Linked DNA regions of Arabidopsis thaliana. The protein of the gene in region 1 interacts with the protein of each later gene in a pairwise test. Each region holds a gene or a part of one and is shown on either strand. Other genes may lie near its edges.

Evidence for each region.
Region 2: the proteins of MEF9 (region 1) and MORF1 interact in a two-hybrid assay, tested with the Arabidopsis thaliana proteins (one study listed by BioGRID).

What each region holds. Positions count from the first base shown.
Region 1 is NC_003070.9:22,995,363-23,003,098, forward strand, and holds MEF9 (mitochondrial editing factor 9), read right to left. Parts: upstream 4,468-7,736; 5' UTR 4,435-4,467; coding exon 2,464-4,434; 3' UTR 2,393-2,463; downstream 1-2,392. Other genes in the region: AT1G62250 (orotidine 5'-phosphate decarboxylase), read right to left, coding at 253-282, 452-557, 696-868, 962-1,120, 1,210-1,335, 1,432-1,641; SLAH4 (SLAC1 homologue 4), read right to left, coding at 4,956-5,225, 5,302-6,129.
Region 2 is NC_003075.7:10,842,574-10,849,645, forward strand, and holds MORF1 (multiple organellar RNA editing factor), read right to left. Parts: upstream 3,575-7,072; 5' UTR 3,513-3,574; coding exon 3,145-3,512; intron 2,927-3,144; coding exon 2,829-2,926; intron 2,740-2,828; coding exon 2,674-2,739; intron 2,588-2,673; coding exon 1,860-2,587; 3' UTR 1,829-1,859; downstream 1-1,828. Other genes in the region: PTAC9 (plastid transcriptionally active 9), read left to right, coding at 65-203, 346-458, 651-756, 871-1,018, 1,137-1,201, 1,288-1,416; AT4G20030 (RNA-binding (RRM/RBD/RNP motifs) family protein), read left to right, coding at 3,789-3,924, 4,182-4,250, 4,341-4,447, 4,527-4,673; AT4G20040 (Pectin lyase-like superfamily protein), read right to left, coding at 4,775-5,806, 5,889-6,116, 6,199-6,390. UniProt on the Arabidopsis thaliana protein: Involved in organellar RNA editing. Required for the processing of numerous RNA editing sites in mitochondria. Binds to the mitochondrial MEF19 and MEF21 factors, two pentatricopeptide repeat-containing proteins involved in RNA editing.

The DNA.
Region 1 (7,736 bases):
AAGCTTCTATATATAACATTCTTATTCGATCTTCGTCTTATGTGTGATATGTTCATTGAATATCATAATATGTTGGTCGCATATTCACAATTTTATATGTTTGTGTATTAAAACAGTGACCTATTGAATTACAGTAGTTCTACAACCATTTACAAAATGGGATTAACAAGACGATAAAAACATTTTGAAGATTCAAAGAACAAAACAAAGATACCTTAGAACTCGTATATTTCAATCTGCAGAACATCATAGTTAAACCCGTGGCCATTGAGGACTCACTACCTACGAATACGATAAACAAAGAATCAAGTTTTATTAAACATAACACTCCAACGAGTTTTTTGACTCTTGACGCAATATTTGGCGAATTTAAAGTAACAATCCATTTTGAAACAGTGGAGACACAATAACATATCACTTTTTTTTATAAGACAGATACAATAAGACTAACCTCGAGAGTGCTAAACACCAGTCTCATTCGGCTGGCCACAACGGACGGCTCCTCTGATTGTCCTGTCACCGCCATCTGCTCCAACTGAAGAGTCTTCACAGGCAGCCTACACTCACACCAAGGTCCAATAATAGCATTGTCGTAATTCGTAAATACACATAGATTTCACACTCTTTACAAACATTTATTTTTCATCTTAGAATGGATTTTTAAAAATGATAGAATCGAATATATTTGATCTTACCAAGCCATTCCTCTAATATAGTATGCATTTGCTATAACCGCGCAAAAGCCTCTCCATTTGCTTAGAATTTCATCAGAAACCGAAGGAGTCGATGACCATCTTATGACTGTTGGTTGCGGCGTACACAAGATCGTGATGAATACAATCCTAAGCCACAATATGCATTCATCTACCTGCGGAATTAAAACCGCCAGTTAAAATTGATCTGATACGACTTAGCTCATATATTAACCGATGATATCACAAGTTCGTTGTAACTAACTAACCTCAGACAGCGTAATTTTGGATTTAGTCTGTGTGCTTCCGCCGTAATTCTCCATTCTCTCAATCTCTAAACCCGAATCTTTCATAGCCATTAGTTCTTTTCTCAAATCTTCATCTGTGCAGCCGAGCGCATATGCATTCACACCAGCGGATATGAATTCCTGAAGATACACACACAAACAAATTAATGAAAGATGGATATACAATCGAGAAGAAAACAAGAATGACTCAAATAAAAAAAGGAAGTTACTTTTAAGGTTTCGCCTTCACCGCGTCCAATCACGGTCCTGTAACGTCTTAAAAGACTTATAGCTATGTTGGGTGATGAACGGTACTCATCATCCGATGAAATCGAGTTGTTGCGTGAGTTACAAAACTTGATGAAATCAAAAGAACAAACACAAAAAAACTTAGGAGCAGTATACAGATGGATGTATAACTTGCCGAAGAGACGAAAACTTTAATTACTAACCATCCATCTCCTTCGAGGCTGAATTTGATATTTTGTAGAAAAAGATGAATGATAACACTCTACATTGCTACAAGGAACTATTGATCTTGGGGAGACAGAACAACTAATCAGAGGACCAAAAGGCGAGGTCTTGAATCTGCGCAAAGCGGCATAGCAGCTAATAGGGATTTGGAATTTGTTGATAGTTCCCGCAGGATACGCAACTAACATTTCTTAACCATATCAATGAAGCAATGCCCTTATCTGCATAAGAGAGAAGCTTTTTTCTTTGAATAACACAACTATATTAGGAATTAAGATGTGTAAGAGTCTAAGATACATTGATGTTCTAGAAAAAAAAAATCAGCTTCCCTGTTCAAATTGAAAGTTGAAACCCTAATTTCATCTCTCAATTCATTCTTAGTCCTTAGAGATATCCATAAGTGGCAAAAAAGAAAACAAATTCAAATGATTTGGATTTGGAGATTAGCTAATATTGCGATCAGAAAATTTGTATTAGCTCAAGAAGAAAATCAAAACCTCTGATCTTTGGAAAGTGTCAAGAATCTCTTAATCATACTGGACCAATTCACAGATACTTACGATCATTTAAATACATCTGAGATTAAAAAGCAAGATATGAACAAAAAAAGGCTTACCTTTTTGAGAAATTCAGAGTCAGCAATTCATATGCAAACTTTTTGTGTGTTTTAATCGCTGCAAAGAATTGGATGAAGCACAAGCTACAAGTGTAAGAGGTGAATTTGAAGCCACCAATATTTTGAATGGCTGCAAAAAGAAAAACATCAAATTTTCAATCAATGTAGACAAAGATTCTTTTTATTTTATTTTTGGGCACTGGAAAAGAAAAACAGATAGAAGCAAACAAGAATCATGGGGATTCCCAAAACGATGTCGTTGGAATATGAGTCCAAATATGATGAAGAGAATTGAGAAAAGAGAGAACTTTCAAGAGTACCTTATCAATTTCTATCTCAATTCTGATCCCAAATCAATTTTTATGTTTAAGTAAACATAAATAAAGGCTGCTTTTTACGTTGAGGAGTCAACCCAACTGGATCCTCTTTCCTTCTTGATTCTTTTACTCTCCATGTTCATTCTCACTTGAGAAGCTTCGTCCCATAGTCCCATATCCGCATACATGTTATATAACAGTACATAAGGTGTTGAGCTCTCTGGTTCGAGTCTCGACATTGCTTCAGCTGCAACATGTGCAAGCCCTACATTGTTATATATCCTACAAGCATCCAATAATGCACCCCATACCGTTTTGTCTGGCTCAAAAGGCATACTCGTTATGATATACATGGCCTCTTCAAACTGCCCTTGTCCACTGGTAACGTTGACCAGGGAAGAATAATGTTCCATCTGCGGCTCGATCTTGTACACACTCATCATGGACACAAACTGTGCTTTAGCCTCATCAACAAGTCCCGCGTGAGCACAAGCGTTCAGAACTGAGACGAATGTTATGTGAGAAGGATATATCCCGTTGCTTTTCATCGACCCGAACAGATTCAAGGCCTCTGAGGCATTACCATGAAATGCATATCCTCCTATCATTGCATTCCATGTGATTACTTCTCTTTTGAGTTTCATTTCATCGAAGATTCTCCTCGACTCCATTATTTCACCGCATCTTGAATACATAGTGATAAGGGCATTGTGGACTGGAACATCGGGGATCACAGTCTTGACAACGATTTGGTGCATCTGCATTCCTAAACGCAGATTCACAAGCCCGGTAGATGCACTGAGAAGAGAAGTTAAAGTATGTGGGTCAGGCTTCTCTCCTTCAATGTTCATCCGGATAAACAAATCAACAGCTTCTTTGTAGTCCTTGTTTTTCTCATAAGCTGCTATTATCGAGTTCCACGAGACTGTATGTTTCTCAGGTGTTTTTTCAAAGTAGTGGCGAGCAAGCTCTACATTGCCAACACTAGCATAACCCGAGACCATCATGTTCCACGAATGTGCATCACGGTTCGGCATTTCCGAAAACAGAGCAAAAGCATCTTCCATCCTGGAAACATGTACGTATCCATCAATCATTGTGTTCCAAGAAATTGTATCGCGGTCTTTCATCTGATCAAATAGCAACCTTGCAGAGACCACATCACCCACTTTCAAGTAAGCTTTGATCATAGAATTCCATGACACAACATTTTTACAGAACCTCTCTCTAAACTCTCCACCATGATCATCACCACAGAGATCAGGAATCTGATCAAACAGACATCGAGCTGCTTCTACTTGTCCTCTCTGTCCATATCCAACAATCAAAGTGTTATAAGCATACACCAAATCTTCCCTTCCTGAAACTAAACTCCCATACTGACCCAAAACCCACGCAGCTTCTGAAAGTCTCTCGTTTTTAATAAGACCAGCCACAAGTGCACATAGAGGAGACGAATCCTTCACAGGCATTTTCCGAAACAACACAACCGCGCTATCCACTTCACCGTTCTGACAAAACCCAGTGATCATAGCACTCCATGACACTGCATTTCTCTCAGGCATTTTCTCAAATAACAACAACGCTTCACCTATCCTCCGATTCTTCGCATAACCACTAATCATAGTGTTCCATGAAAAAGAATCCCTTGAAGGCATTTCATCAAACAGCTTCCTTGCTTCCTCAAGAAACCTAATCCCACCACATGAAACATACCCCGAAATCATCGTGTTCCAAGTCACAACATCTCTCTTAGGCATTACGTCGAACAGTTTCCGTGCTTGATTCATTTCACGCCTTTTCACATACCCGCTTATCATCGTATTCCATGTCACTGTGTTCCTCGCTTCCAGTTTCTCAAAAATATCTCTAGCTTCGGCGATATACCCCGATCTTATCATCTGGTTTAACTCTTTGTTCGTCGCTCGAAAACCCAAGCTTGACGAAACTGAAGTAGAGAAAGAGTTTGCACATAATAAACACTTAAGACAAGACGATTGATACAACACCTTCCTGAAAATTAACAAGACACTTCGTGATCGGATCATCGTCGTCGCCGGCGAAATTTGCAGCGATCAAAAACTAAAAAAGCCTCTAGCTTTGAAAATTAGAGTCAGGTAAATTTGGTTCAGATGATGATGTAATGGACATTCTTCGGTTTACCATGTTTGAACCGGAAATCATTTGGTTCAATTCAGATAGTAAAATGTGTCTATTGTAAACCAAATTAGCCTCTGAGGCCTGACTCCTGAGATTTGGAAGAATCAGTCAGTGGAATGGAATTGATCAGTTGATTCTCACAGTCAGGTGAATTTTGATTTTACTGTGTTTAAACCGGTAATAACTCGGTTCAATTCAGCATTTCCGGTTTTATAGTATTTGAACCGGGTTTGATATCAGGTCAGATAGTAATTAGAGTAGAAATTTCTACAAATTGTATTACATAGTAGTCTGTAGTTGGTTGATCTTCCAACTGAAATTTTTTATCCAGCTAGTTTTGTAACTACTTTTACATACATTATTTTATGGGTAATTAGCTTTGGTTTACAAGTTTCGCCATACACGATGTTTATTTGTCTTTTGGACCAGTAGAAGACCAGAGGACATGATCACGTCTAAGTAATCTTTTGCTATTTGCTGCTGTCAGTAACATCACACTGATGAATATCAAAACTGACATGGATGAGAAGATAAACATCAAGACCGAAGCGACATGGTCTTTCACCTCTTGCGCGTACTGAACCGAGTTTAAAGCGAGAAATGTGATAGGAAACGAGTAAGCCCACCATGCGACATTGAATCTTTTTATCGACTTCTTCAAAAGATTTGGCCTACAAACCTGAAAATGTATAAGAAAAAGAATGTAAAAATGTCGGTTTTCGGTTTCTTGGTGTATCGTAAAGATGTAAACTTACCAGAGATATGAAGATGAAGAGTGAAAGGAAGAATAACATCTTGGCTATAGTATCAAAGTTTCCACAAATAGAGTTCCAAGCTAGACTTGCTGTGGCGGGTGCAGCGAAAAACAAGAAGAAAACCGGTCTTAGCGTGGTTGGGAAATTGTTTCCGCCTGGTAAGCGTTGATAAAGTGTAACAAAGATGACCAAATAGTGAACCATTCCAAGTGAGAATAAGCATAGAGCACACTCTTTCCAACCCATCTCTGCTGCTCCCCGCGCAGCCACTAGGTTTGCGATTACCGATACTTGGCTTGCCGGGTTTGCCATTATCGATAAAAACCTTTTCTCTGTTGTGAACCATTGACCATAAAGCTTTGTGTCTAAAGTCAAGACTGGAACAGCAAAGATCCAGAATAGTGTCTGATATAAAACGCTGTGTGGTTCTATCATAGGAGCTGATTGAAGCAATAGAAGACATGAAATGGATGGAGCGTAAAGATAGTTCACTCCAATATAGTGCGAGAACTCTTCCTTCACCATGTCAAAGAGAAAAATACACTTGAAGGCATACAAAAAACAGAGTGATACTTGTGTTGCAAGTGCTAGGTACCACAGGAGATAATACGCCATAGACGGGAGTTCGCTATGCAAATGCACCATAATCTTCCACAACAATGCTTGGCTACATAGAGAAAGGCTTATTCTGAAATATCCCGCATGGAGACTACTCAAAACAGACATCAGGACAATGGGTTCGGCATCTGCGAGGTTAGTCTTTCTCTCTTTGCGCCTCGATATTGTGTTATCAATCATGATGTGAATTTCTTGACTAGGTATTTCCATCTCGGTATATCGATGAAATAGAGCTTATTTTGCTCTATGTTGTGCTAACCTATAAAAAAAAGAATTCATGTACATAAGCATAAGGCAGAGAAATCAAAAGTACAAAACACAAGTTAGTGTTGGACATTCAGAAACTTTTGGTAAGTTCAATAACTTGTACAGTACATATATACATATCAACATCTTTTTCTTTTTTCTTTCGACATCAACACTTTTTTTTTCTTTTGATGAAGCGAAAATTCTTCTTCAAGCTTCATGAATAAACATCAAACCATTTCAATTGCTTATATCATCATAAATTCTTTCAGCTGATTTATAACTTTAAGTATTAGTTCCTTATAATTCATACAAAGTACTAAATGAAATATAGCTTATATAATTTAAATAAACCTGGATAATTTGCAGCGAAACGATTTAAAAATTGTTTTAATACTTCAACTGTCTGTGCTTCGCCAGTGTCTGCACACAGATTGTGGTATACTAATGTCGCCTAGATTCCTGAACTGTCTTCGGATTCTGGGTTGTCGTCTTAGATCCCCATTTCATCTATAAGACTATAACCAACGTTGACCATGAGCCCTTCTCAATAAGGGAGAGGAGATAATAATGTTGCCTTACGTAAAGATTCCTTATATAAAGAATTTATGTGATCCTAATATCCCTTTTTACTACGTCACGACGGCTATACAATTGTTTTTTTTTACATACAATTGTATACTATATACAATTGTTATATTTAGAAAATCTTTATAATTAACCTTAAAAACAAGTTTAATGTCGTTGGTTGACAAAAAGATGAAAAAGAAATTATAAGCAAAGACATACGATTAGATTTTTTTTTATTTTAGTAAGATGATTCCCAAAAGAAAGATATTTTCCTCAAAATATCCATTTGGTAAATGAACGATGGTAAACAATCTATATTTGTCAAACAAGTTGTAAACAAATATTTCAATTATATATCTATTAAATTTGTATGTTTCAACTTTCAACAGATTCGTTTCTTTCTTATTGGTCTCCAACAAAACAATTCAAATTTGGAAATGTGCTACCAATCAAAATCCTAAGCTTCACAGGTCTCAATCAAGTGAAAACAATTTTTTTAATTTTTTTTTACCCAACAAAAAAAAGTCGTTCTCACTTAGATTGGAACCTGCAAGCTACAAAAAAGCCGCTTAAAACATCTCCAACCCATCTTTATTATTATTTCTATACTCTATTTTTGTCTTTATTTATCTCTAAAATAGAGATTTTAATTTTTTTTCCTAACAAATAGAGACAACCATTGAAAATGGTCTAATGGATTTGTTGTAAGGTCTAATAATTATGGACTATTTTTTATTTTGAAGATTATTTTGCCAATATTTTAGAAAAAATTGGGTGAATTTATCACATTCTTAAGAAATATTATAAATTAATACTCGTAAAAAACTTTAAACGGCAATTTTAAAACTAATTCCGTAATTCGATTACTGTAGCATTTGGTTTCGGTGAGACTTTTGTGGAAAAAATAACTTAATAATGTCATTTTAAGTCGGGATCAGTTTTATACGCATTCATGATTAGTTTAACAATATCCAAACAAACGAACAACAAAATATCTAAAA
Region 2 (7,072 bases), on another chromosome or scaffold:
GATTTTTATTTGTAACTTTGTTTGTGATTCATATTTGAAAAGGTTTTGGATTTTGTTTTGTCAGGATTCCGATAATATTTGAAGGCGATTTAGCTAAAACCGCAGCTCGATATGTAAGCAAAGACGATCAAATTCATGTGTCTGGGAAGCTGTTTATAGATTCTCCTCCTCCAAATATGACTTATGCACAAGCCAATGTTCAGGTGTGAGCTTTAAATAGTATTTGATCAGTTTTATGATACTTGTGAGAAGAGTACTATGTTGATTTGATTATCCCTCGAGTATGTATGAAAAGTTCCAGAGAACCTTTGTAACTTTAGGTGGTTGCTACTTGCTTTACAACAGGTATTGGTCCAGAATCTTAACTTTATACAGCCTATGTCCCCGTCTCCGTCGCCATTTATGGTTATGTCATCATCTGAAAAGGAAGAAAGTGGTATCAAGAAGCAGCCTGGTATGTCTCATGTAACATTTCCAATGAACAATTTTCAATTGGCGCTTGTGTTAGGTCTGAGAAAGGCTCTTAGGGAGCTACTTTTTAATCTCTTGTGATGTATTTAATGAAAAATGTGTTTTCTTGTGAAATCTTTCTGGCATACATTTGTTTTCAATGCTCTGATTAATGGTTTGTTAAATGAGTCTCTAGCTAGAGCTAAGCAGGATATAGTCATTGATGAAGCTTCAGATTCTTGGAATCACCTCATTGAAAATCCTAAAGAATGGTGGGATCACCGGGAAAATAAAGTCAATGGATTGGTAAATGCCCCATGTGCTTAACTATTCATCCTTATCTCACTCGCAATCTTTTGATATGGTGTCTGCTAAATCTCTCTACTAGTTTTCTGACTTCTTGGTTTTTCTCCTACATAGGTAAAACCTAGGCATCCTGATTTCAAAAGCAAGGACAGTAGTTTTTCGCTGTGGCTCAATAAGGCTCCTAATTGGGTTTTGCCAAAACTCGAAGGACTCGAGTTCGATGTTCTAGTCCCTAAAGCCAGAGTTGTAAAACAACTTAAAGGTAAAGTTCCCAGTCATTTCCATGTTCCTATGCAACTATACAAAGAAAGTTGTTTACAGTTATGTGGCACTTGTTCAAGTATGTTTGTATAAACTGAAATCTGGGCTGATATGTGTAGGAGAAGAATCATGGAAGGACTTGGTTCAGAACCCAGATAAATGGTGGGACAATAGAATCGACAAGGTAGGATACCAATATCTTTTGCTCGGTTTTTCATCAATCTTTCCAAGAAACTGACCTATTGTCCCAATATCGTTTTTGTTTTGAAGAGAAATGCAAAAGCCCCTGATTTCAAGCACAAGGAGACAGGTGAAGCACTGTGGCTAAACGAGTCTCCTACTTGGGTATTACCGAAACTGCCACCAGTCAAGAAGAAACAAGAAAGTATTGTCTTTTAGCTTTAGAAACATTATCTCCATGTAAAGAGCTCCAAGTGTTTACAAAATTCATCATTTCTATTCAAAGTGGTCTTCAAAGTTCCGTTTGATTTTTGGTTAGTAGACTGAATACAGTAGCTACAAGTGTGGACGATTCCAAATGTCTCAGGTAAAGCAAGCATATTAGGTCTTAAAAGAACTTCTAGAAAGAGTGTTTCAATTTCACAAGCGCAACCAACAACGTTAACAAGCTCAACTTAAGAGAAAAAAGGACTAACTATTGTCTTACAAAGTAGAAAGATGACTAAATACTATTTACTGTAAAACTTAATAAAAGGCCTTTGACACTTCTCTCCTTATTCAGCTCAATTCACTGCAGCATGCTCTCTGTCTAGTACCTTCTTCCCTGTGGAAACTGAAACACAGGACCATCTCAGTAACAAATATGGGGAAAATGGGGTACTTTAATGCCTGATGAGGATATCAAAAAAGAAAGATGCAAGATTCATTATTGATCGAGATCTTACTTGGTCAGACCCGGGCTGGCCTGCTGGATTATTGTTGTTCCAGTCTCGATTCCTCTGATCTGCCTGTGGGAATGTCTGATTCTGCTCTTGTCCTGGTCCAGAATACCCCTGACCATAGCCAGGATTTCCAGCTCCAGGTGCAGGACCTAAGTTTCCAGCTCCAGATGCAGGACCAAAGTTTCCAGCTCCCTGTGGATTGTAATTCCTAGGTCCTCCTTGGTTGTAACCACCTTGTGGCCCTTGACTATAGTTCCCAGATCCACCTTGACCGTAACTGCTTTGTGTTCCTTGGTATGGAGGCACTGGAGATCCCTGGACTTGATTGTAACCTGCCTGATATGGAGGCACTGGAGATCCCTGGCCTTGATTGTAACCTGCCTGATATGGAGGTGGTGGAGATCTCGGGCCTTGGTTATAACCTCCTTGAAATGGTGGAGGCGCTTGAGTTCCCTGACCTTGTCCTGGAGTGGCATAGCCCTGTTGAGGACCATAGCTCCCTCCACCACCTTGCATTGGTGGTTGCTGACCATACTGTGTGTTTCTTTGGAAGTTTTGGGGACCACCACTTCCTCCTCCTGAACGGTCAAATCTAGGACGAGGTCTTGCTCTGCCACTCTGAATCGGTGGTGGCCTGTGTGTTATCACTCCATTCTCGTATTTATCTCCTGAAAACAAGAAACATAATTTTGTTGATAGAGTCCCAACAACAAATATCCAAAATAAGACCAGTTTGTAAAAAAAACCAGCTCACCTCCATACTCTTTGTTCTGGGGATCAATGTAGGAATCTGGCAAGATGAAAACCACTCCGGGTAGATCTGTTTACATATACCAATAACAGAGTCAATATCTGGTGAAAAAAGTTGAATTCAAAAGAAAACAAACATAAATGATTCGAACTATATACCCTTGAACTTTTCTGATTCTTGTTCAGTCATGATTGCTTGAAATCCTTGGTAAGTAGTTGTGCTACAAGCATACATCCTTTGCTTAGCCTCTTCCACGCTGACTCAACCATAAACACCAAAAATGAATCAATATAATCGTCTTAACCAATATCAATACCAGAAGAAGATACACAAAAATCAAAGCAGAGCTATATAACAGTGAATGGAACCCTAGCAATGGTAAAGTTCTCACATTTAAGTAACTTACTGAATGATTTTTGGACAATTTAGCCAAAAGCAACGAATCTAAGCAGTGACAAAAATTCATCTACTAACCTGATGCCAAGTCCTTGGGCGCAAGTTTCTTCATAAGCAGCGACCATTTCTTCTGGAGACTTAGGAGTTTCCTCTTTGGAGAAATCCATAGTGATAAGCCAGTGATTATAATCACATCCTTCGAACAACACAGTGTCTTCCGTGATCTCATCACCTTCTTTGTAAAGCTTGTACTGCCTCGTTGAAAACAGTCTCGCCGGTGCTCGAGTAGCTACTTCCGTCGAACGCCCTATAACGGATCTCTTTAACACCGCCGCCGACACAGAAGGGAAATCAGACGCTGGTGTGATCGAAGAGCTAATTGATCGGTTAACATAGGAAGTCGCAGTGAGTAAAGCTCGTCGGAGACGGTGAGATATCATAGCCATCGTTGCCAGAGAAATTATGAAGGAGTGGAGAGTATTCTGGAAAGCTTTGGAGAAATGAAATTAGGGTTTTTGTGTGGGTTTTACAATATCTAAATAAATAGTAAATTACTTTTTAAGTCCTTATTGTTTCAAATGTTTTTAGTTTCCGCCTAAAGTTTCAAATTTATCACTGGGCCAAAAAACTTAGGCCTTAGCTTTTTACTATACCGCTGTCGTTTTATAACTCTCTGTTTGTTTCTTCTTCTTCTCCCTCTCTATTTCCGGCGACTGTGAATTATGTGGTCGGCGACGTTATCTTTCCCTTCTTTTGTGGCTTCTTCATCTTCTCTACCTAATTACAGGAACCTTAGGTTTCCAAAGATTAAAGCTTCGCTCTTTAATTACCCTCTAGCGAGCAAAATCATGGTCAGAAGTAAGATTCAGATTATCTTTTGGTTTATATTTGAATTCGCTTCTAGCTGAGATTAGGACATGGTTCTGTTATTGTTCCAAAAGTAATTTATGATTCTGGTTTGATTGAAATTAGTTGATTTGAGTCAGGATTGTGACGGTAGTCATATGTGATAGCTCTAAGCTCTTGTAGCAATCATTAGTGAAGTTGAAGTTGGTTGTAACTTCAACTTGGTAATTACTCTACGGTTCTGATGTTTCTTCACTTTGAATTTGTAGATTTACCGTTTTCTACAAGTGAAGATTTTCTAAAGAGAGAGTTTTCAGCTTTTGGAGAGATAGCTGAAGGTATGTTTGCGGTTTCAATTTTACTCTGTTTTGTTGCTTTAAGGTTCAGTTTTATGGCATTGATATGTTCACTCTTATACTTCAAAACAGTTAAGCTTATCAAAGATGAGGCAATGAAGAGATCAAAAGGTTATGCTTTTATTCAATTCACGTCTCAAGATGATGCTTTTCTTGCCATAGAGACCATGGACCGTCGGGTAAAAGCTTCTTTCAATCACAAGTTTACATTTTTATGTCTTGAAATCAACCTAAATGTTTCCCATTCCTCTGTTGCAGATGTACAATGGCAGAATGATTTATATAGACATTGCGAAACCAGGTAAACGTGATTTCCAAGGACTGCCTAGGACTTCTGGTCCACCTGAGAAGTCGGATGAGCCAGAAGAAGCCGCTAATGATGAGGTTGCTGATTGCTGGTATTAGTTGTTAGTATCAAGCTCACCAAACTGTAACTGAACTTGTATAAATCAGATGTCAAATCATGCTTTCTTATTAGGAATATGATCAATGTGAAGAATGTTGTTTTACTGATAAGCAATTATTGACACGGTTCCAGTTACAGCTCTATCGGTTTCTACAACCACCATATTGTTGGAGACATTGGTCACTGCATTTGCAGGGATCTGTCCGGATTGAGCGAAAAACGAATGCTGGTAATGGTTTATCCGGTTAGGGAATACCAAAACAGGGGAAAAATCAGCGATCCATCGTGTTCCATTTGCGGAAACCATGGCCTTTCCGGTTGTTGATTTCAGCATCATCCCTTCTGCATTGTTTTGATCAATCACAACTTGATTAATATCATGAAACTCTCCTTCTAGCTTGACAATCGGGAAGTTGTTTTTGGCGGTACCGCTAAACATGTTGTTGACGATGTTTACACCGGAAATCTTCCCGTGTACCGATCTCAAGACGATGTTTGCATCTCCTAAGAACAAAGCATTGGTGACATGAACATGGACAGGGTCTTCTATGACTATACCTGTGTAATCAAGGTAACAATTATCTATCCTCGTTAAATGTGATTTCACTAGAATGCCAATGCCACCAAACCATGTAGCTTTATTGTAGCAATGCACACCCGTAACCATATTTGCACCACCATTCAAAGAGATACCGATACCAGCCGAGAAAATCACTACATCCGTAATGGCATTGTCGTTACTCGAGATATCGATTCCTGTCCCAGTAAATCCTCTTTCTTCTCTGTCTCCTCCTACCGTTGAATGTTGCCCCAAGAAGGAGTTTGAAATGTATGTCTCATGACCTCCTTGGACTTTAATCCCTTGCGTTGTGAAATGGAGGAAATAACAATTGGTTATACGGATACGAGCTGAGTCAATCACCAAAATACCACCTCCTCGGAATCTTGAGTCGAAGAGAACATCTTGGAAGGTCACATCCTCATAGAAGATCCCAGAGCTCTGGTCTTTCTGATCGGAGAAAGACTCCTCTGGCGACATTTTCATTGGTTTCTTAGCGTTTGATGCTACAAGCTCAACTAAATGCCTATCACCAGGAAACAGTTCTGATGCCCGGAAAGTCCCACCTTTCACCTGAATTACACCGAACAATGTCTTAAAAGACTCAAACCTTTTCATAAGTTTCTTAAGTCAAATTTTAAAATGAGGGACTAACCACAAGATTTCCGCCACCGGAGGAAGGGAACCTGAGAGGTTTTCCGATCATGTAACTGCCACCTTGGAGATCAATAACTAGACCACCTAAATCAGCGACACGTGGCAGCATCTCAAGTCCAGTTTGTAACTGAAAAGCATCAGTTAAAGCTTCAAGTATTGCGTCACTACTGTCTTGTCCACCTGTAGGGTCAGCTCCGTAACCAATCGGGTATATCACCTTCCCAACCTGCACAAACCAAACTCACACACGCTCACAAATCACACACACGTGCCTGTAATACATTAGAAACTGAACAAGAGGACTTTACCATTTTGGGAGAGTGAGAAGAAGGAGAAGACACTGGTGAGAGAGTGGGAGTGACTGCGAGTCTTTCTTGAATCTTCTCTTGGAGCTTTAAAAGCTTGGTCATGTCTCTTCTTAAGGATGATGTCTCTTTAAACTCCATTGAAATCGTGATGAGAAACAGTAACAACAAGCTAATGAAGCTATAGAGACTCATCTGATTTTTCTTGACTCTTGTCTTGTTCTTGAGTGTGTGAGAGAGAGAATTTCTTAGGAATGATTATGAAGAAGATGCAGGTAGATATGTGCGTGTGTGTATATGTATTAAAAGGCAAATAATCTCTGTTATTAAATTTTGGTTTATTTTTTCAATGTACACCGACTCGAGTTCCAATCTATTAAATAGAAACACTTTAGAAGTTTTTGCTTTATTCATAAGAAAATGCAAAAAGATCAAAGCATGTTCGTACGAACCGCTCAAGTTCAACAAAGAAAGATCAAAGTATTTGAAAATTTATTCCTAACTGGCCTAATATCAAAAGTATTATGTGAAGTATGAAAAATCATCAATAAAAATAAAATGATTACTTGACGAGAAAATAAAATCATTCGTTTTAGACTTTGTTTACAACACATCTTCAGGCTTTATTCGTCATAAAGTTTGCTTTTCTTTTTCATAAGTATTCATCATTCAATAAGAAAATGATACTTTTATTTTCACACTTTTTGATGCCAAAAAAAAAACTTACAGAATAAAGTATGTCGAAGACTTGAAGTAATACTGAAAATGGGGATTGAGTGTGGAAGTATAAATAAATTTTACTTTATGGCCAACATCTAAAATTTGAAAATACAGAGCATCAAAATCTCCTTAGATTATCTTTCATAAGCCACCAACT